3 linked regions of the Macaca mulatta genome follow. The protein of the gene in region 1 interacts with the protein of each later gene in a pairwise test. Links are inferred from orthologs where the notes say so. Each region holds a gene or a part of one and is shown on either strand. Other genes may lie near its edges. The genes, in order: UBE2W, AMFR and RNF26.

Region 1 (6,648 bases):
TCAATCACATTACATTATTCGTTGTAGCATTTACCCAGTAGTCCCTTTGTAGGTCCTTTAATGTTACTATTTAGTTTCCCATATTCCCTTTTCTTTACTAGCAGAAAGTCCAGATGCTAACGTACACCTGTCTCAGGCTCTCTCTTTACCTTGGAAGGGAAGATCTCAGGCACATACACAGCTCAGGTATGTCCAGTTTTTTTGTTTTTGTTTTTGTTTTTTTCTTCCAGGGAAGTGGAGATGCAGGTAGTTTGTGAGATGAGGGAGAATCTCCTCCTTGTAACCTGATGGTCATTTCTAATTGCTGGGGAAATGAAAAAGTGAACATCATTATCAAATCTAACAAAAATAACAATTCCTTAATATTTTCTAATATCTACTCTATATTTAATTTTCTCCAGGTGTCTCAAAAATATCTTTTTTACAGTTTGTTTGAATCTAGATCCAAACAATGTTAACATATGCATTTGTTCAATATATCTCTTACGTGGCCAAGCATGGCCTGTAATCCCAGCACTTTGGAAGGCCAAGGCAGGTGGATCACTTGAGGCCAGGAGTTCGAGACCAGACAAAACCCCGTCTCTACTAAAAATATAAATATATATATATATATATATATATAAATAATTATATATATATATATATATATAAAATTACATATGATGTTATTGAGAAGATCCAGTAAGGATATGGGAAACTTTAACTTCATTATTGCTGAACTGTTTTCCAAAGTGATTGCACCAGTGTCACTCCTATAGAGTTTATGAGAGCTCCACTTCCTCTCTCACTTTTGGTATTATCAGATTTTTTTTTTTTTTTTGAGATGACAGGGTCTTGCTCTGTCACCTACACTGAAGTGCACTGGCATTATCCTGTCAGACATTTTAACTTTTGCCTGATAGTAATGATAGTAACGCTTGCTCTGTAGAGATATGAGCCTAGTCTTCAAACATTGCATAATAGTGTTTTAGATATTAACATTATATGCTCACTGGAGATAATTACATACCCCCCACACCATCTGTAAGTCACTGTTTTGGCTCCTATGTCAGGATCTTTTTATTAAATATTAACAAAAGAATGGCTGGGCGCAGTGGTTCACACCTGTAATCCCAGCCCTTTGGGAGGCTGAGGCAGGTGGATTACGAGGTCAGAAGTTCAAGACCAGGCTGGCCAACATGGTGAAACCTCATCTCTACTAAAGATACAAAAAATTACAAAAAATTAGCTGGGCATGGTGGTGTGTACCTGTAATCCCACCTACTTGGGAGGCTGAGAGAGGAGAATCACTTGAACCTGGGAGGCGGAGGTTGCAGTGAGCCAAGATCGCGCCATTGCACTCCAGCCTGGGTGACAGAGTGAGACTCCGTCTCAAAAAAAAAAAAAAAAAAGAAGACAGGTTATTATGTGCTATTTAGTATTACCTAGAAAGGATTACTGGCATTGACCTTTCCCTCCTGTGAAGATACTTCTAACATATATGAAACCCAAGGGACCAGATACTGGTTCCACTGTGATGAGTGTCAGAATTCTTGTAACCTCTTTTTTCCTCATTAGTATCTGTCATGGTAGGTTGTTGGCTCTGACGATGTCATAATGCTTTGTTTGTAGGGTCATCCGACACTACTTTTTCCATAGGAACAATCAGCTTTTAGGCAAAGTGAACCTTGGACAGTAAAACCTGATCTTCTGAGGTCACAGAAATAAAGACATCTCAAAGAAAATATACTGGAAACTTCTTTAAGTTTTCCTCCTTCATTGGGATACGTGGGTTTCCTCACTGTTGTAATGTTGATGACACAACAGGGCTAACACCGGATATGCTTCTGGTTGATTCCGGTTTACCAAGAGCATCCAAACATCCCTCAAGGACACAGTCATTTTGCACAACAAAGGGAAACTCCGCTCATTTCTGGCATTAGGGTGGACATCTGAGAGAGGGGAGGGTATACCACCGTAACTTCTCTAGTGATGAGTAGTGTTTAATATTATGCCATAGACTAACTGGCGTATTTTAAAGATCTTTTTCCTTTTTGAACACATTTCAGATTAGAGAAGTTCCAGAGAACGTAATCTATTTTAAGAGTGTGAAACAGTGATATTCTGCATTGCTTTTATATCTTAAAGAAATTTCTAAAAAGAAAGCCGAGTCAATAAAATGACAGATTTTAAGCCTTCATTCTGGTAACATAAAAGCCTTCTACTCATTGTGTCTGCCACCTTAATTTTTAAAGATAGAGCATGAGGTGCAAGCTTTTGGCTTCCATTTTCCTCTTATAAACCAATGACATCTTCAGTTCCAGAATAGCTTTTTTAAAACGTGACTTCTGATAAATGTTGGCAGAACTGGTGCATTCCTAAAATAAATTATGTATGCTCAGCTTTCCCTACCCAAGTTCATCCCTAACTGACCACAAAACTGCCCACCACGAAATAGGCTTAAGAGAAGTCTGGACATAATGGTCTAAGTGTATATAACACAACACTGGTATATTTTTAAAAATTCAGTATATTTTAAAAAATTCATGCCTAGGGTCAATTCTGATAATCAAATTTAGACTGCCGCAACAACCGTAACTACTGTTGATACATGCGAAGTTTAAAACTGAAGGGCTGGGGTAAGGGGCAGAAACTGTACACAACAAACTTCCAAATTTTCTCTCCCCTTTCAGGCAAGTTTCAGCTCCACAAATCTAAATACCCTCGCCTTTAAAATATCAGTGTCGTTTTGCTCTTTAATCCTCATCCTGTTGTACAAGGAAACCTATGTCTCTCTTCCCCAGATTAAGAATACAAGAAGCTTTCCAGGTCTACAAGGACCAGAAAGCAGCTGCGCGGGAAGTTTCATGGGGCCCCAAGGCTCTCAGAGTGGGCTTGACGGTATGGAAAACACATCCCAAGAGAAAAATCTGTGAACCGCACAGCTGTGTTTGGAAAACCAAAACGAAATAGAAAAAAATCTGAGCTGATCCGGACGGCATCAGGATTACGCGGTACACAAGAAGAAAACAACCGTAGCCGGGTCAAAACTGGAGCCGTGTCTCCTCAGTAACCAGAGTAAACGGAAGACCGACGCGGGAGCGGCGAACCGGACTGAGACCGAAGGTACTCGGAGCGCCATTTACCACGTCCTCGCCCCGCCCCCTAGCCCCTCCTCCCGTCCGCCCTGCGCGCCAGCCAATCCCCTCGCGCCATCACCTTCCCATCGTAGGCCCCGCCTCCGCGCCCGGGATGTTGAGCCCCCGCGGCGTGACGCGAGCACGGCAGCTCCTCCCCCTGCGTCTCTGGCCTCGCCGGTCTTGGGGGGATGGTTCCATCATGGCGTCAATGCAGGTGAGAGGAGTTTGCTGCATCTGGGCGGGCCAGGGAGCCGCCGAGAGAGTGCCAGCGTTCGGGCGGGGGTGGCGTCCGCGATTCGGGGACACCCGGGCGGGTTCGGGATCGGCCCGGGTGGCTTGTTTTCCTTCAGCTCAGGGCGTCGGGGGAGGGGTAAGAGGCGGCGAGAGGCGTTGGGGGGGTGCGGTATCCGTCGGTCGAAGCGGACACCAGCCGGCCGGGAAGTTGGGTGATAAAGGAGGCTTGGGGGAGAAAGGGCGAAGTCTGGTGTTGGCAGCCTCAGAATCGGCTCCCCGCGCACACACACACACACACACGGCCACTGCCAGTCTGCTGCCCGCCAGTCCCAGGGTTGCCTTTACCCCCGCTGTCCCTGGCCCGACGGAAACAGCTGCGCCCGCGGTTGTTGCCGGGGCAGGGGCGGCGAGGGGCTGAGTGTGGGGGAGCCGAGAAGGCGTCTCCGGAGAAGGCGACTGGCTGCGGACGGCGCTTAGCGGCCTCTGCTCCGGCCTCCCACGCCGGGCCCCCCAGACTGCTTGGCCCCGTCTCTCTCTTCTTCCCTTTGACTCTTAATCCTGTGCCCGTGGGTATCCGCTCTTTCCATCAGCCTCGGCATTCTCGCGGACATTACTTCAGCAGTCCAGTGTCTCCTCCTCTCGAAGCTGCCCCGAGTCCACTGCCTGATGGGCGATCTCCCGAGAGCCAAGTCCTCAGCCCCCTGAAACCTTTCGGGATAGCTCGCCCTTTATTTTGTTTCCCCCTACAAGGCCCCACCCTTGCGGTCGCGATAAGGCTATACATCTCTTTGCCCTTATTCGCAGACCTTTAGTGGAACCTTAGTTTGGTAGGAGGCGTTTGTTAACCTGTGCCACATCCACCCGACTTAGCAAGGCGTGGTTTTCTGGCTTTCCAACTTAATTTACTCCTTTTTCCCGAATTCAGGGAGTTGCGGGTTTTTTGTGTTTTTGTTTTCAGGCAAAGATGGCAACCACAATTGTAGTTTTGTAGAGATTGGCTGCGTTATCTATAGCCTGCATTTAATTCATAGGTGAAGACTAGCGGTATCAAAGACATTGGAAGAGAAAGTAGAACACTCAATAGGAGTGTCAGCTGAATACTCTTTAGCGTTTTAATAATATCCCCTTGGGTAAAGAGACCACGTTTTCTTAGAAGTGTTTTTTGCTTTTGTTTCTGAAAGAAGCAAGTCTCTGTTCCTCCTCCATTTTTTTTTCTTTTCTCTGCTAAAAGTGTTTTTCTTCCCTTTTCTGCAACTTCTTCCTCTTTTGTACAAATATATCTTTGCTTCACATTTACTCCTGTGCTTTTATGTTATTCCCCTTTCAACCTGTTTTCCTTACAATATTCTCTTTACTTTTGCTTCTCCCTCTGGACTTGCCTGCAGAACAGAAAAGTTTTATGTAACATTTCTAGTTGAAGAGATGTCACGAATGGTGCAGGGAAAAAAACAGGAACAATTTCAGGAAACATTATACTTTACACTAGTCCCCCAGAGACGTTAGAGAAGTTTCGTCATTTGAGGCCAAGAAAAGGAACTGTGGAATGCTAGTTGAACAGTAGATGCAATAGGCTACATGACCACTTAAAGATTTTTATCTGTGTTAAGATTAAAACATTTTTTATGACAAGTTTAAGATTATCTGTATTAAGATTAAAACATTATTTGAGAGTAAAAATTAAGATTAAAATCCACAACACTCGTGATAATATTTGACAAGAGAACGTAGTGTGCCATCTGGTTAGATTTAGTATCTGGAAAAGGCAGATTTGTTTGTAAGAGAAAGGTTGGTAATGTTGAACTTTACATGGTGTCTTTTTTTTTTTTTTTTTTTTTTTTTTTTTGAGACGGAGTTTAGCTCTTGTTGTCCAGGCTGGAGTGCAGTGGGGGCGATCTCGGCTCACCGCAGCCTCCGCCTCCCGGGTTCAAGTGATTCTCCTGCCTCAGCCTCCCGAGTGGCTGGGATTACAGGCATTGGCCATCACGCCCAGCTAATTTTGTATTTTTAGTAGAGACAGGAGTTTCTCCATGTTGGTCAAGCTGGACTTGAACCCCCGACCTCAGGTGATCCGCCCACTTCAGCCTCCCAAAGTGCTGGGATTACAGGTGTGAGCCACCGTGCCCGGCCTACATGATGTCTTAAGCAATGGAAACAAATACTTGATTGATAGTGCAATAGTGCATTTTTCTGTGCCCTAAGTATTACCTCAGACTGTCTTACCACTCTTTGAAGTTTTTCCTTCACCTTATTCCATCTAAATCTTATCACTCTCTATTCTTCTGTGTTTTCTGGTTAGAGGAATGGAAAATGGATGCTTAACTCTTTTTATTAAAGTAAAAAGTCTTTTCCTTTTGTTTGTATTTTAAAATATCTAGTGCAGATTTTCTGGTAGTATCTTTAAGAATATTTAAATATGTATAAGTCAGGCTTTTTGAAAGACAGCCCTACTTTCTGTGTGGTTATTCTGTATCTTTGTTGTACAGAATTTATATCCTATCTTAATGGCAACATCTGGCTCTTTTAAGACAACTAGATTATACATAAATCTTCAATCAAATTATCAAATTTGTTTAATCACTGAGCCAGTTACCTTTTGGGGGCCCTCTGTGTGTCAGACACTTATCTAGGTGCCGCGGTTATAGCAATGAACAAAAGCGAACAAGATTTTTGCCCTCATGGATTTAATAATAAATAGTCTGGTAAGAAGAGACAGATAATAACAGCATATTTAAGTTAATTGTTTTTTGTTTTTTGTGTTGAGATGGAGTCTCACTGTGTCGCCCATTCTGGAGTGTAGTGGTGCAATCACGGCTCGCTGCAACCTCTGCTCCCAGGGTTCTAGCAATTCTCCTACTTAGCCTCCTGAGTAGCTGGGATTACGGGTGCTGGCCACCACGACCAGGTAATTTTTTTGTGTTTTTCGTGGAGACTGGGTTTCGCTATGCTGGCCAGGCTGGTCTTGAACTCCTGACCTCAAGTGATCCTCTCGCTTCGGCCTCCCAAAGTGCTAGGATTACAGGTGGGAGCCACTGCACCTGGCCAAGTGTGTTACTATATTAGAAGGTGATAGTGCAGTGGAGAAAAAACATGGAAGGCTAGGAAATTGATCATTTGGGGATTTCGATTAGGAAAAAATAAACTGTAACATGGAATGACCATGTCCTTACTCAAAAAGCTTTTAGTAGATTTCTTTATCTTACCCACACCAGGTGTTGCTGCTGCTGAAGAAGTTACTTAAGCTGTAAGAGGAACTGTATTTTTTTTTATGCCATGTTATACACATGTAACATGGGAT
Region 2 (6,648 bases), on another chromosome or scaffold:
TAAGCAACAACAAAGCCACTCAACCAGTCTCACATGATGGTGAATGAGGTCATGAATATGAAAGGACTTCAGATATTTTAAAAATGAAAATAGCATTGTATCTAGGTATGAATCTTAGTCCACACAAACTGATTTGCCTGAAATAATTATTTTATTCCCTTTAAATCAAACCAAGTCAGAACCACCATCCCACAAAGATGGCAGGAAATTCAGTCTATCAGTCATAATGGAAATGAAGGAGCTATTTGAAGTCTCAAATCTAGAAGGCATAGTGGTATTCTGAAATGAAGGTGGTGGTGACGAGGAAGCTCGAGCTTTCATCATGGACTCTACTGATTCTTGTCCAAGCAGGACCAGCCTCTCAAAGTCTGATGCTGTCATCAGTCTGCCACACTTGGGGCTTGGGACACAGCTGACAGGTAGCCTGTATGTTGATTCAGTCTCCCCAGGCACATTAAGCATTCATCCCTTTTGGGTCCTGCCTCCTCCCCTGGTCCTCTCATGGAGTAAGATGCAGTTACCAAGAACTAGAAGTATTGGTTAAGACTTAAGAAGACTTGTTTGGTTATTGCCAAAATGTCCTTCCTTGAGACAAGGGTGTGCAAAGTACCTTCTTGGAGTGGGAAAGGAAAAAGTAATGGTAGAAAAATTACTAATTCTAGTAAAAGATCCAAACACAAACCGTTTACATTCTTTAAAAATGCAAACAAAAAATAAGCTTTTATAGTTGGGTTAACTTCCCCTGTTCATGTGAAGTTTCAGAAAGTCCAAGCTTCTAAAAGTTTAATAAGGGCAGATCTATTAAGAGCAGCCTGTTTGTAAGGGTGACAGGACAAATTTGGTTTGTGATAGTTTAGAACTACTGTGGCTAGGATTGAATAAAGATTACCAGTTAGTGGTTTAAAAGTTATGATGGCCCAGATCTTGACCTGTAAAGTAGAACACTTCCCTGAAAATTACAATATTTTTTCAAAATAAAGTTTTCCTTTGTTTTACTGATAAAGTTTAAAGTGTAGCATTTTAATTGCATGGCTGTGGGAAAAAAACCAAAGTGAACTCAAGTCTAGTATTCATATAGACCTTGTTTTAAAAAAATGCACGTGTACAAAGGTAAGACCTCTCCTTGTCCCGGTAAAACTAAACGTTCATCAAAGACCCTTTAACAAGATGTTTCTAAAATTTCCAAAGTGGAATGGTAAGCCTGAGAGATCTTTTGTTTTATAGTTAATAGACTTTTAGAATATTAGGCATGAAGAAAGACTTTGAAAGATAATTTGGTCCTTTTCTTTAGAAAGTTTGGAAAATCCTACAAATATTTACAGAGCACCTACTCTGGGCTGGGAAGTATTACAGGCCTTGGGGATGCAAAAGGAATAAAACTCCCAAGGTAACATTTTTTTCCCTTTGGTAACAGCTTATTGAGATACAATTCACATATTGAGATAGAACTATTTAAAGTGTACAATTCAATGATTTTTCAGAGTTGTGCAATCATCACCTCAATTTTACATTTTCATCACTTTGAAAACAAACCTGTCCCAGCCAGTGACTCACGCCTGTAATCCCTGCACTTTCCGAAGCCGCGGTGGGAGGATCACTTGGGCTCAGGAGCCACAGACAGGTCTGGACAATATAGCAAGACGCTGTCTCTACCAAAAATTAAGGATTAGCCACGTGTGGTGGCATATGCCTATAATCCCATCTACTGGAGAGACTGAAGCAGGAAGATTTCTTGAGCCCAGAAGGTGGAGGATGCAGTGAGCCATGCTCCTGCCACTGTACGTACTCCAGCCTGGGCCACAGACCCTGTCTCTTAAAAGAAACCTGTGCCCTTTATCACCCCCTACCTTCCCTCTTCCTCCCATCCCTAAGCAACCATTAATCAACTTTCTGGGTCTGTATATGTACTTGCCTATTGTGGACATTTCATATCAATGGAATCACACAACACGTGGACCTTTGTGGCTGTCTTCTTTGACTTAGCACGTGTTTAAGGTTCATCCCTATTGTAGCATGTATCAGTAGTTCATTTTTATGACCGAATAGTACATTGTATGGATATATCACATTTATCTACTCATCACTTGATGGACATTAGCGTTGTTTCCATCTTTTGGTTGTTAGAATGGTATCAACATTTGTGTACAAGTTTTGTGTGGAGGTATGTTTCCACTTTTCTTAGAGGACTGGAATTACTGGGTCAAATGGTCACTCTTGTTTGACTTTAAGGAAAGGGCAGATTATTTTCCAAGACAGCCGCACCATTTGACATTCTCACTTCTGGTGTATGAGGGAACACATTTTTATTTCCCGCTAAATCAGGTTCATTTTTTAGTTTCTGCTGGAGGCTACTAGTAAACAGCAGAAACTTGAAAGACTGTTAATATTTTTTCTTCTGGGGTTTTGGGCACCAGGGAAGCTGCTCGGCCCCTAGGAGTGCTTGGGGGTAACTAGCTTCAGAGGGTTAATGGTGGGGGTTAAGTGGGCAGCGGCCTGGTGGCCAGGGTCCCCCGCGCCCTGAGGCCCGGCCCGCCCGTCAGCGCCTGCGGGCCCGAGTGACGCCCGCGCCGCGGCCGGAGCAGGTGCCCTCTGTGTCCGTGGGCCCAGCCGAGCCGTGGTGCGGGCAGCGGATGATGCTGGGTGCCGGCCCCCGGGGCCTGAGGCCTGGGCCTACGCCCGCTAGGCGGCGGCGCGACCGCTGGGGGCGGGGGACGAAGGCCGCGCCCCTGCGCCCGTCCCGCCCGCGTCCCGCTGGGGGCGGTGGCCTGCCCGGAGCCCGCCGAGGCTCTTCCGCGCCGGCAGGGGCAGCAGCGGGAGCAGCGCGGGGCGGAGCGGCGCCAGCAGCCAGGAGCGGCCCGGCCCGGCCCGGCGTGGCGGCAGCGGCGGCGGCGGCAGCGGCAGCGGCAGCGACAGCGACGCCAGAGCCCGTGGGCGCCGTTCGCGAGACCGCGGCAGGGGCCCGGCCGCAGCGCGGGGAGGCCCGGAGACCGGAGGTCGCCGCTGCCGCCATGCCGCTGCTCTTCCTCGAGCGCTTCCCCTGGCCCAGCCTCCGCACCTACACGGGCCTCAGCGGCCTGGCCCTGCTGGGCACCATAATCAGCGCCTACCGCGCGCTCAGCCAGCCTGAGGTCGGCCCGGGCGAGCCGGACCAGCTAACGGCCTCGCTGCAACCCGAGCCGCCGGCGCCCGCCCGGCCGAGCGCGGGGGGACCACGGGCCCGCGACGTGGCCCAGTACCTGCTCTCAGATAGCCTCTTCGTGTGGGTGAGCGAGGCGACCGGGCCCGCGGGGCAGGGACGGGGTCCGCTGCGTCACCCTTTATCCGCGGGGGGCGTGGTGGGCCAAGGGGCCCCTGCGCCAGGGACCCCGGAGGGCAAGCGCCTGGGGGGCGCGGCCTTGCCTGCGGGAGCGCTGCCTAGGTAGAGTGGTGAGGCGCTGGGGGGCAGCGGGGGGGAACCGCGGGCGGGAGGAACATCATGTGGAGTTGCGAGGAGGAGGCCCCGAGGGGCAGGGCAGCGTTGGGGGCTCCGGGAAGGGAGTCGGGGAGGCGGCGGGCGAGGGTCTGCGTGGGGGTGCGGACGGGGCCCAGGGCAGGAGAAGGGGTTAAAGGGCAGTGGGGAGGAAGGGGCTGGGGACCCTCGGGAGAAACTAGACTAAGATCTCAGAGGGCAGGTTCAAGGGGAGGTCGGGATCTGGGAGTGCGTTATCCCTAGGGTTGGACAAAGTAGAGGGAAGTTGAAAGCTTTTCCCACTTGGTCAAGCATGGGATTGTTGTTAGCGGGTTTTCTTCCGACGAAAAGGAGAGGGCAGAGGGGAGAATTCAGACGTTGAGTATGGGGGAATTTTCAGCACTTGGATGTCTTTGGACATTCCAGTTGGAGAGAGGCGTCTCCTACAACTTTTTTGCCGGTTAGTATTCGATTGTCCCCTTTGGGAGCTGTTTAATGAAACAAACACCAGGCAAACTGTGCTTCCTTTTCTGCTGCCTTTACCTGATGATTCATGACAGTTTTCCTTTGATGTATGAACACAGCAAAACATTCGCAGTGTCAAGAGGCAGCCCATCATGTTAACTGAATGTTTCTTATTTGAGGATCTATTCTAACGCAGTTTCCAGGTTGTCTGCCCCCGCGAGATAAGCAGCATTGATAAGGCACACATGCTGGTTTCCTTCATTAGAATAGATAATTTCAGACTGAGCAGATCAATGATATTTTGGCTACAGAATTTTGCTTTCACCTTGGCCTTGAATACTTACGTAAATCCCACAGTGATCAGAAAAGTTTCTCCAGGATTTAAAGTCTCACTTGGATTTAATATGGCTTCTTGGATTTTGTCTCCTTCCAAGTTCCCATTTGGGGTTGAAAGTAGGCTGTAAATGACTGAGAGATTAATATTCCAAGTTGACAGGATGATATGCAACTCATTTGTTATAATTAGTCCCACTGTGCTTCATCAGGAAGCGGTGGGATTTATGGACTCTGTGGGCTGTGGATTAAGTCTCCTGGTCCTTCTGATGGAGAGTTCAGTAGAAGGCAGTGAAGGGTGAAGTTCCTGTTTGTCTACTGCTGTGTAAAACTGAACTTTACAGACCCAAAGAAGGGAGAAGAGAAAGAACTCACCCACATCTCTTGCTTAATTTCAAATCTGATTTTGCATTTGAGTTGCAGGTAAACAACTTAAAGTGATATAGAGAGTGTTTTTGCCATATGTTAAGATTATAATGTAGTCTTTGATATTTTTTAAGTCTGAGATATAAATAAGCCTTTGAGAAGGAACCCTTATTTTATTTATATAACAACCTTGGCATTATTTAATGGATTTTCCCCCGCAGGACTTTCTTTTGATAAAAGCCATGTTCAGATTCTAAGGTTAATACCTCTTCAGAAAACATTACATAAAAGGCTGTTGATTTTTCTGTGATGATGATTACTTTTTAGGAAATTTCCTTTTCTTCCAGCATTTTCAGTAGAGGTCTTACCTCTGGCAAGTTTATCACTTCTTACTCTCTGCTGATGATATTTTCATTTCTCAGTTGATCCTAGTGCTGTTTTTCCTCCATCTTTCCTCTGGGTGTTTATTTCCACGTGTTTATTTTGGCCTGCTTTGGTTTCTCAGAGCCTCCATGTGCTCACTGTGAGTTTGTCTCATCACTCAGTGTTTATGTAGTTTCTGCTTTAGCAGCTGAGTAGAAGTGACAATCTCAAAAGCCTTCCCCAGTGGTGGGACAGATAAGATTGTTGAGTGAATACCCTATGTGGTGGTGCCTTTGTCAACTGGATCCTCCCCTAGTTCTGTTGAATTCGGATTCAACTTTTTCACAAACACTGCCTGCCAAGGCCAAGTAAGACAAAACAAAGACTGATCCTTCTGCCAGTGCAAGTCCTGCTAGATATTGTTTAACATATTGCAGTTCCTAAAACTTATCTTTGTGGAGCACAGTTTAGAATAATATCGGTCTGATAGCATCACAGGAGGTTTTTCATGAACAAACTCAATTTAAAACCTTTTGAAGGTGTTATTTTGGGCACTCTGGAGGGCATATCTGTGAACAACACTTTCCCCTACCCTCAGTAATATGGCACAATTTTACAGGTGATAATAGATAAATAAAATGCAGCAGAGTTTGGAGGAAAAAGAAAGGAATTGTGCCTAGGGAAGGGTTCGTGGAAGGTGGTGTTTGAACCATCTTGGAAGGTGGGAAGGGTCTCAACCAGCAGCAATGGGTATTCCAGATAAAGAAACCAGCATGTGGAGCTCGGTCTGGCTGGGGGAGGACAGTGCTGGGCACAGGCAGGGTGGTCTGGAAGCTGGGCTGTTAAATAAAAAATCTGTTGAATCTTCTGGTTTAAGAGGGAGGTTGAGAAGGTGAAGAGGAGACTGGGGGGTGAAGGAGGTGGGGCAGGTGCCTCTGCTGTGAGAGGAGGAGGTGAGCAACCCCTTTGAAGGTTTCTTTCTCAAAGTGTGGACCTCTGGCAGCCTGGTATGTGGTCATCTGGGGTACTTGTAAAGTGTAGTTTCCCTGGGGATCCATTTCAGAGAGAAGGGTGGAGCCTTGGAATCTTCATTTTAATGAATGCCCTAGGTGATCTGAGGGACACTAGTGGTTGAAAAACTAACCTAGGAAGAGGCTGGAGTATGGTGTCATGTAACCTTGACCTTGCTTGCTCTACCAAGTGTGGACAGTATTGGGGCTTAAGTGGGGGTGGGGCATGGAGGAATAGGGGTGCTGTCATGATTTCTTTCAGAAGATAGTCTGGGAGCAGTGTGGAAGATAGAGTTATGTAGAGTGGGAAGAGGACGGGAGATCTAGTGACCTATAACTTCCTCCTCCCAAGGGGGCCTCTCCAGGTGGCCCTCATACATGACATTGAGAACGGATTTGGGAGGAGGCTTCTGGGTTTTTACACTAACAGATATGTGGGTTTGACCTGACCTTTTGTTTCCCCTTGTCTTTCTAAAACTTCCACCCTAAAGTTTGATTTCAGATGAGTTTTTATTTTGTTACTCATTTCTGGGCTATTTTACATTGCTCAGATAATGCTTCTATTCAGCTCCCTCTTGGTCCCTTCTAGCATGGTTTTGGATTGTTCAGGTGTTTTGGCTTTTTCATTTTTTAATTCTTACTCATTACTTTTATTAGTTCCCT
Region 3 (6,648 bases), on another chromosome or scaffold:
ATATCTTTTTATAAAGTTTTGACTTTGGGACTCTGTAAATGATTTGCATAATTAAAAAAGAAAATATAAAAGACCAACCTAAAACCATGGCAATAATATAGATTTTACTGAATGATTGATGAGGAGACGATGGGGAGGGCCATAATACACACAATAGCACAAAACAAAAGCCCTGAATTAGACATTCTTTTCTGGTTTTTCCAATCTCTTAATCCTCAATCCTCATAGTCTCTGAAAATCCCTTCTATTGTCCCAGCTAGAATCTTACGCTGAGCAAAACAAAACAAAACAAAACAAACCCTGAAGTTAGCACAACAGCAGAAATCAACTGCCGCCAGAGCAGGCTTCCAGAGGGCTTTACACTGCATCTTCCATTAGAAAATACTGCAAGGATAGAGCTTCAAGGTGTTCAGCTTTCTCAATATCTGGCTTATTTTCTTCTCAATCCCTGGGACTAACATTGTCAAACAATTTGAACTTCCTCCCTAAAGCTAGTTGGAGTGTTTGTCCCTGCCCAAAGCAGGATTACCTGCTAGGTTTCCTGGGAGTCAAGGGTTGTGGCTCATTAAAGATGGCTTTGCATTAGTGAGTCTCAGATCACTCAAAGGGGAGGTCTTGGTCCTAAACAAATGGAAATACTCTCTTAGAGGATCCTGCCAACTCTGAGAAGGCCTTTACATGCTTCTTGGTGTGGAAAACTGGCCAGTTAATTGCACATAGTACAGGCACAGCACGTTTGCCAGGTTTGACTTTGGACATAATGAGTAGGAAGCACCAGTGGGATACCCAGGAACTCTTCATGTCCAGGAAGCAGCTGGAGCCTGAACTTTGCAGGACAGGTTCAGGCTGAAGACACAAATTTAGAAATTATTGTGTATACAGGAGAGGAGGCTATGATGGAAACAGAAAGAATATAGGAAAGGGTAATGCCTCTGAGGCAGGAAGTGGTCAGTGGTGTCAAGTGCTGCAGGAAGATTGATTAATAACAACACAGTGTTCACTGGACAAGTAAGATCCCTGAAGAGGAGATGGTACGGGTGATGGGATCAAGTGTCTTGAAAGGGAAGTGGGCACATTCTCCAAGATTTGACACTGGCAGGAGGATGCAAGTGGGCAAATAAAAACATCATCAACACATCACAACACAACAAACCATAACCTGGGCAGGGCCTGAGAGCAGCGAGAGAGAAAGGGTAGGAAGAAGCCAGAGGAGTTTCAGCGCCTGCAGTCCTTCCTCTGCACCGTAGCGTAGCCCCTACCACGACCCCACGGCCTCAGTAAAGGTTTGCTGCACACCTCAGCTTCTTATCAGTGATGCTTTGGAGAATGAAGGACTCCGAGGCAGTGTTCAGGGCAGAGTGAAGGGGGATGGACAATTTGAGGAGCCCAGGAGTGGAGATGGAGAATTCAACCCAAGTAGGAAATTCAGCAAAGGTAACCAGGGGAAAGATAAGTCCGCTAGGAGTCCGCTAAGTATCCTTGGAGTTAGTAGAAAATCCCAGGATTCCCAATATATTTGGGATGGGGTTTCAAATATATTTTGACTATTGTTTGAGTATTAAAGAAAAGGGCAGGGCCAGGCTTGGTGGCTGACGCCTGTAATCTCAGCACTTCGGGAGGCCGAGGCGCCTGGATCACGAGGTTCAGGAGCTGGAGGCCAGCCTGGCCAACATGGTGAAACCCCGTCTCTACTAAAAATACAAAAATTAGCCGGGTGAGGTGGTGGGCGCCTGTACTACCCGGGAGGCTGAAGCAGGAGAGAATCGCTTGAACCCAGGAGGCAGAGGTTGCAGTAAGCCGAGATCGCGCCACTGCACTCTAGGGTAGGAAGGCCCAGGGTAGCAAGCTGAGCTGTTTCGAAATCTGCAGCCACCTTTTCTCAATGACAATGAAGTAATCTTCCAAGATGTTGAAAAACCTGGTGCGGAAAGTTTGGAGTAGCAGTTTGGGAATCTCCTGTAATAATCCGCTTTCCCTTGTGAACCTCAGGCACTGTCTTAAAATTTTTTGTATCCTCAATGCACTGTAGGAGCTCAACAAATGATAGAATAGATGAATAAATAGAGGAGAATGAGGAGACGGATCTGAACAGGCTGCGAAGGAGGTGCTATTCCAAAGCCCAGCCCAGAGGCAGTGACCTCGGACTCAAACCAAAAAAAACAGCTCGCGTTCGGAGGCCGGGAGAAAGAACAGCTCCCAAATTAAGGGGAGTCCAAGGCCTTGCTCTTTTAGAGGGCGGGGCTAGGAGAACGTATTCCGACGCTGCCCGTCAACGAGCCAATCCCCGCCTCAAGGGGGAGGGGATTTAATCTGTCGCCGCTCCTTCCCTTCGGAAAGTAAATACGTTCGTGCGCCATTCAAACGGACCAATGAGTGATTGACGTTGTTGCGCTTGGCCCTCACCGATTGGCTGGAGTTTGTCGTCCCTCCCTCCTCGTCATCCCTCTGGCTCCACCCCTTTGCACACAAGATGGCGGCGCCCAGCGGAATAGGGGCTGCGCTTGGGGTTTGCTGAAGCTGGTTGCCTCTCCCACTCCCCTTTTGGGTGCAAAGCGCCGCTAACGGGAGGACGGGGGCCGGGCGGGGACAGGGGCACCTGCGTAGCTGGACTGCGAGCCCGCGCCCAGCTTGCGTCGACCCCACCCGGCCCCGGCCCGACCCGACCCGACCCGATCCGATCCAATCCGATCCCATTCCATCTGTTCCCCGTCTCCTCCCGGTCTGACCCATTGCCCGGCCGTGGTTCGCCACACCAGGCATCCAAAGCTGAGGTCGCTCCTACGGCCTGGGCTCGCCTTCGCTTTGGAGATGTTTGGGCTCTTCCCTCCCAAACAGCCCATCTTCAAAACCTGGACTCTTGGACTGGCACCTGGCCCCCTTTCCCTCTACCAAGACTCCTCTTCCCTCTTACCCACTTCTTCCTCAGATTCTTGGTACCGCCTGTGTTGGAGACTGCTCATTTTCCTTCCAAATTAATCCCAGACCCCCTAAAATATTGACAACCTAGACAACCCCACAACCGAGGAGCCAGACTTTCTTTTGGACTAACCTCCATAGCCCTATCATGGAGGCAGTGTACCTGGTAGTGAATGGGGTGGGCCTGGTGCTGGACGTGCTGACCTTGGTGTTGGACCTCAACTTCCTGCTGGTGTCCTCCCTCCTGGCTTCCCTGGCCTGGCTCCTGGCCTTCGTCTACAACCTGCCGCACACGGTACTGACTAGTCTTCTGCACTTGGGCCGCGGAGTCCTGCTTTCATTGCTGGCCTTGATCGAAGCCGTGGTCCGGTTCACATGTGGGGGCTTGCAGGCCTTGTGTACCCTGCTCTATAGCTGCTGCTCTGGCCTGGAGAGCCTAAAGCTCCTGGGGCACCTGGCCTCTCACGGGGCACTGCGGAGCAGGGAAATACTGCACCGGGGCGTCCTCAGTGTGGTCTCCAATGGCCATGCTTTGCTGCGCCAGGCCTGTGACATCTGTGCCATTGCCATGAGCCTGGTGGCTTATGTGATCAACAGCCTGGTCAACATCTGCCTCATCGGCACTCAGAACCTCTTTTCCCTGGTGCTGGCCCTGTGGGATACAGTGACCGGGCCTCTGTGGAGGATGACGGATGTAGTGGCTGCCTTCCTAGCCCACATTTCCAGCAGTGCTGTGGCCATGGCCATCCTCCTTTGGACACCCTGCCAACTAGCCCTGGAGCTGCTGGCCTCAGCTGCCCGCCTCCTGGCCAGCTTTGTGCTTGTCAATCTCACTGGCCTGGTGTTGCTGGCTTGCGTGCTGGCAGTGACGGTGACTGTGTTGCATCCGGACTTGACCCTGAGACTGGCTACCCAGGCACTCAGCCAGCTCCATGCCCGGCCATCCTACCACCGTCTTCGAGAGGATGTCATGAGGCTCTCTCGCCTAGCACTGGGCTCAGAGGCCTGGCGCCGAGTCTGGAGCCGCAGCCTGCAGCTGGCGAGTTGGCCGAACCGCGGAGGGGCACCTGGAGCCCCCCAGGGTGACCCTATGAGGGTGTTCTCAGTTAGGACCCGGAGACAGGACACTTTTCCTGAAGCGGGGCGCAGATCAGAGGCAGAAGAGGAGGAGGCCAGGACCATCAGAGCGACACCTGCCAGGGGCCGAGAGAGGCTCAACGATGAGGAGCCTCCAGGCGGGCAAGACCCGTGGAAGTTGCTGAAGGAGCAAGAGGAGCGGAAGAAGTGTGTCATCTGCCAGGACCAGAGCAAGACGGTGTTGCTCCTGCCCTGCAGGCATCTGTGCCTGTGCCAGGCCTGCACTGAAATCTTGATGCGCCACCCCGTCTACCACCGCAACTGCCCGCTGTGCCGCCGGGGCATCCTGCAGACCCTCAATGTCTACCTCTGAAGACTCCTTCCCTACCTGCCCACCCCTCCACGCTCCATGCAGGCACTCACGCTAGGACAGCATTAACAGCTCATCTCCGGGTCCTGGTCTGAATCCCTCCTACCCCTGTGGCTGTCCTGCCAGGCCTCCAAGCCATACATCCAGGACATTGAGATGGAAGACTATGATGTGGGTGGGGGCAGGATAACATAGCTTCTCCTTACCCAGTGGGTCCCTTCGATGCTGAGGGTGGTGAGTATGTCACTATGCAAGGGCCTTGAGACTGTTTGCTGTGGGCTCTCCTCCAGCTTGCCCAGGGCCCACCCAGCTGCCTCTGGGGTTACCCCTCTCTGCTTGTGGTTTTTCTGTTGGAGATCTGTAGGTCCTTTTCCTGCCTCCTTCACATTTCCTCCCCAGCTTTTGTGGCCACAACATATCAGTGTTATTTGGGTGTTTTGGCAACTCAGGGGCCTTCGGATGATCTTGAACCTTTGTGTTCAGCCAGAGCCCCTGTGCCCTGGTAGGCTTTGGGGTTAGTATCTCTCAGGTACCCTCAGAGCCACCTCTGCCTGTCATCGTCTGATGAGGCTCCCTCCCAACCTGATCCAAAAGCTGGGCTCACGAGTTTACCCCTGGGATGGGGGATGCATCTGCACCTGACTTTGGGACCATGTGCTCTCTGGCACCCCAACTCACTGCAAGTCTCAGGAGGGATAACCAGATTTCTACTCATTCCCCTTTCACTCCCACATCACACAGAAAAATGGCATTCCTCTCTGTCTCTCCCTGGCATTGGAGAGGGCAGACTGTGCACAGTTCACTAGGGTCCAAATACAGAAGGGGCCAGGGCCCAGGGGCTTGCAGCTTCCTGAGGGGTCTCTGGCCCAGTTTCCTATGAATAAAGTTATCTTGACAGCTCTGACAGTCTCTTGTGCGTCCCTGCAAGGGAGCAGTTGGTCAAGGCAACAGACCCTGCATCAGGGTCCTTCAGCCCTGCCGGAGTCAGAAGTGTGGGCTGTGGGAGTACCTGGGCTTTAGCGGGGGAGACAGGGAAGGAGCTAAGATAGGCTGGGAAGACTGTGTCATGGGGAGAGTGCATGCCAGGCGTGGCTCTGTGAGCTGTCATCCCTTCTGATTTGTCCCCTTGCACACGTGGCTTTCGAAAAGCCTTCTGTATTTTTTCTATTTTTGCCCAAATTAAGCCCTTGTAGAGAGGAATGTGAACCATCTCACCGCTTGAGTCAGCCTTCCCAGCCCCTCCCCTCCCCGGGCCAGTCTTCCTGGGAGGGAGCATGGGGTTCCTGCTGCCTGGATCCCAGGAGGAGCTGGTGTGTGTCCCTGTGTGTCTTAGCATGGGGTCTGGTGCAGGGCTGGGTTGGAGTGTGGCTGCGGGACCTCCTGATGGAGGCTGCCTGAGGCCTGTCTCTAGCTCACATTTGGGCTCAGTCCCCATTGGCCGTATCTGCCCTCACATGACCAGCGGAAGAGCAGGGGCACTCCCCCATAATTGTATGTTCTGTCTGGGACCACAGTGCCTGGGACTGCCTTCAGGAAGGGGGCGCCGGTAGCTCAGGAAGAACTCTGAGGAGAGGCCCCCCTTCCTTGGGTTGAGGCTGTGCAGATGGGGCTGGGCAGTCCTGGTTTGTTAGTCATTGGGTTGGAGGTGGGCCCCCCCGGTGGGGGAGCCTTGAGGGGCTTTGTGGCTAGCCTCAGACACAGTGGCTCGGCCCACCCAGGCTATGCCCAGAGCAGTGGGGGAGGGCTCCTCATCTCCACCTCAGAACTGGGAGGCCTAGGGAGGGTTTGGCACTTGCTCTTTCCTTCCCTCAATCCGGGACAGGGAGCTGAGCAAGGGGAGGACCGGCTCCTTCCAGTCTCTGTTTAATGTGGGGATAAACATTTTATGATAGAAGATAAACTTCCTGAGTTGGGAGTAAAGGACTCCCCTTTTCTTCCATCTGCATCTGGAATTCCTTTGGCCGACCTCAATACCCCTCCTCCCCCTCACCACCCATAGTCAGGAGCTCAAGCTTCCCAGTATCCCTGCGGCATTCTGGGGCCAGGGCACCCCCTTGTGGTCATCTCAGAAACTACTTACCTCTAGACGCCCAGGGAGGCCACTCACTCGGGTTACAGAGCAATAGCTTTCCAGTCATCTGGGGACCAGGCAAGCAGCCAGGGCAGTCATAGACGAAAGTCCTCGGCTCTTTTTTGTTGGATCAGGGCAGGGGCATGTGTGGTGCAGGCAGCCCCTATGTGGTTTAGTTGGCATCTTTGAATTAGAAAAAGGTACCCCCTTTCTT

What was found.
Region 2: the proteins of UBE2W (region 1) and AMFR interact in a two-hybrid assay, tested with the Homo sapiens proteins (2 studies listed by BioGRID and IntAct). The link is inferred for Macaca mulatta from reciprocal best matches to the Homo sapiens genes UBE2W and AMFR.
Region 3: the proteins of UBE2W (region 1) and RNF26 interact in a two-hybrid assay, tested with the Homo sapiens proteins (2 studies listed by BioGRID and IntAct). The link is inferred for Macaca mulatta from reciprocal best matches to the Homo sapiens genes UBE2W and RNF26.

The regions. Positions count from the first base shown.
Region 1 is NC_133413.1:84,449,858-84,456,505, reverse strand, and holds the start of UBE2W (ubiquitin-conjugating enzyme E2 W), read left to right. Parts: upstream 1-3,318; coding exon 3,319-3,333; exon of another isoform or gene 3,334-4,603; intron 4,604-6,648. UniProt on the Homo sapiens protein: Accepts ubiquitin from the E1 complex and catalyzes its covalent attachment to other proteins.
Region 2 is NC_133425.1:51,979,335-51,985,982, reverse strand, and holds the start of AMFR (E3 ubiquitin-protein ligase AMFR), read left to right. Parts: upstream 1-2,787; 5' UTR 2,788-3,008; coding exon 3,009-3,263; intron 3,264-3,346; exon of another isoform or gene 3,347-3,426; intron 3,427-6,648. UniProt on the Homo sapiens protein: E3 ubiquitin-protein ligase that mediates the polyubiquitination of lysine and cysteine residues on target proteins, such as CD3D, CYP3A4, CFTR, INSIG1, SOAT2/ACAT2 and APOB for proteasomal degradation.
Region 3 is NC_133419.1:120,023,219-120,029,866, forward strand, and holds RNF26 (E3 ubiquitin-protein ligase RNF26), read left to right. Parts: upstream 1-2,463; 5' UTR 2,464-3,064; coding exon 3,065-4,366; 3' UTR 4,367-5,260; downstream 5,261-6,648. UniProt on the Homo sapiens protein: E3 ubiquitin-protein ligase that plays a key role in endosome organization by retaining vesicles in the perinuclear cloud.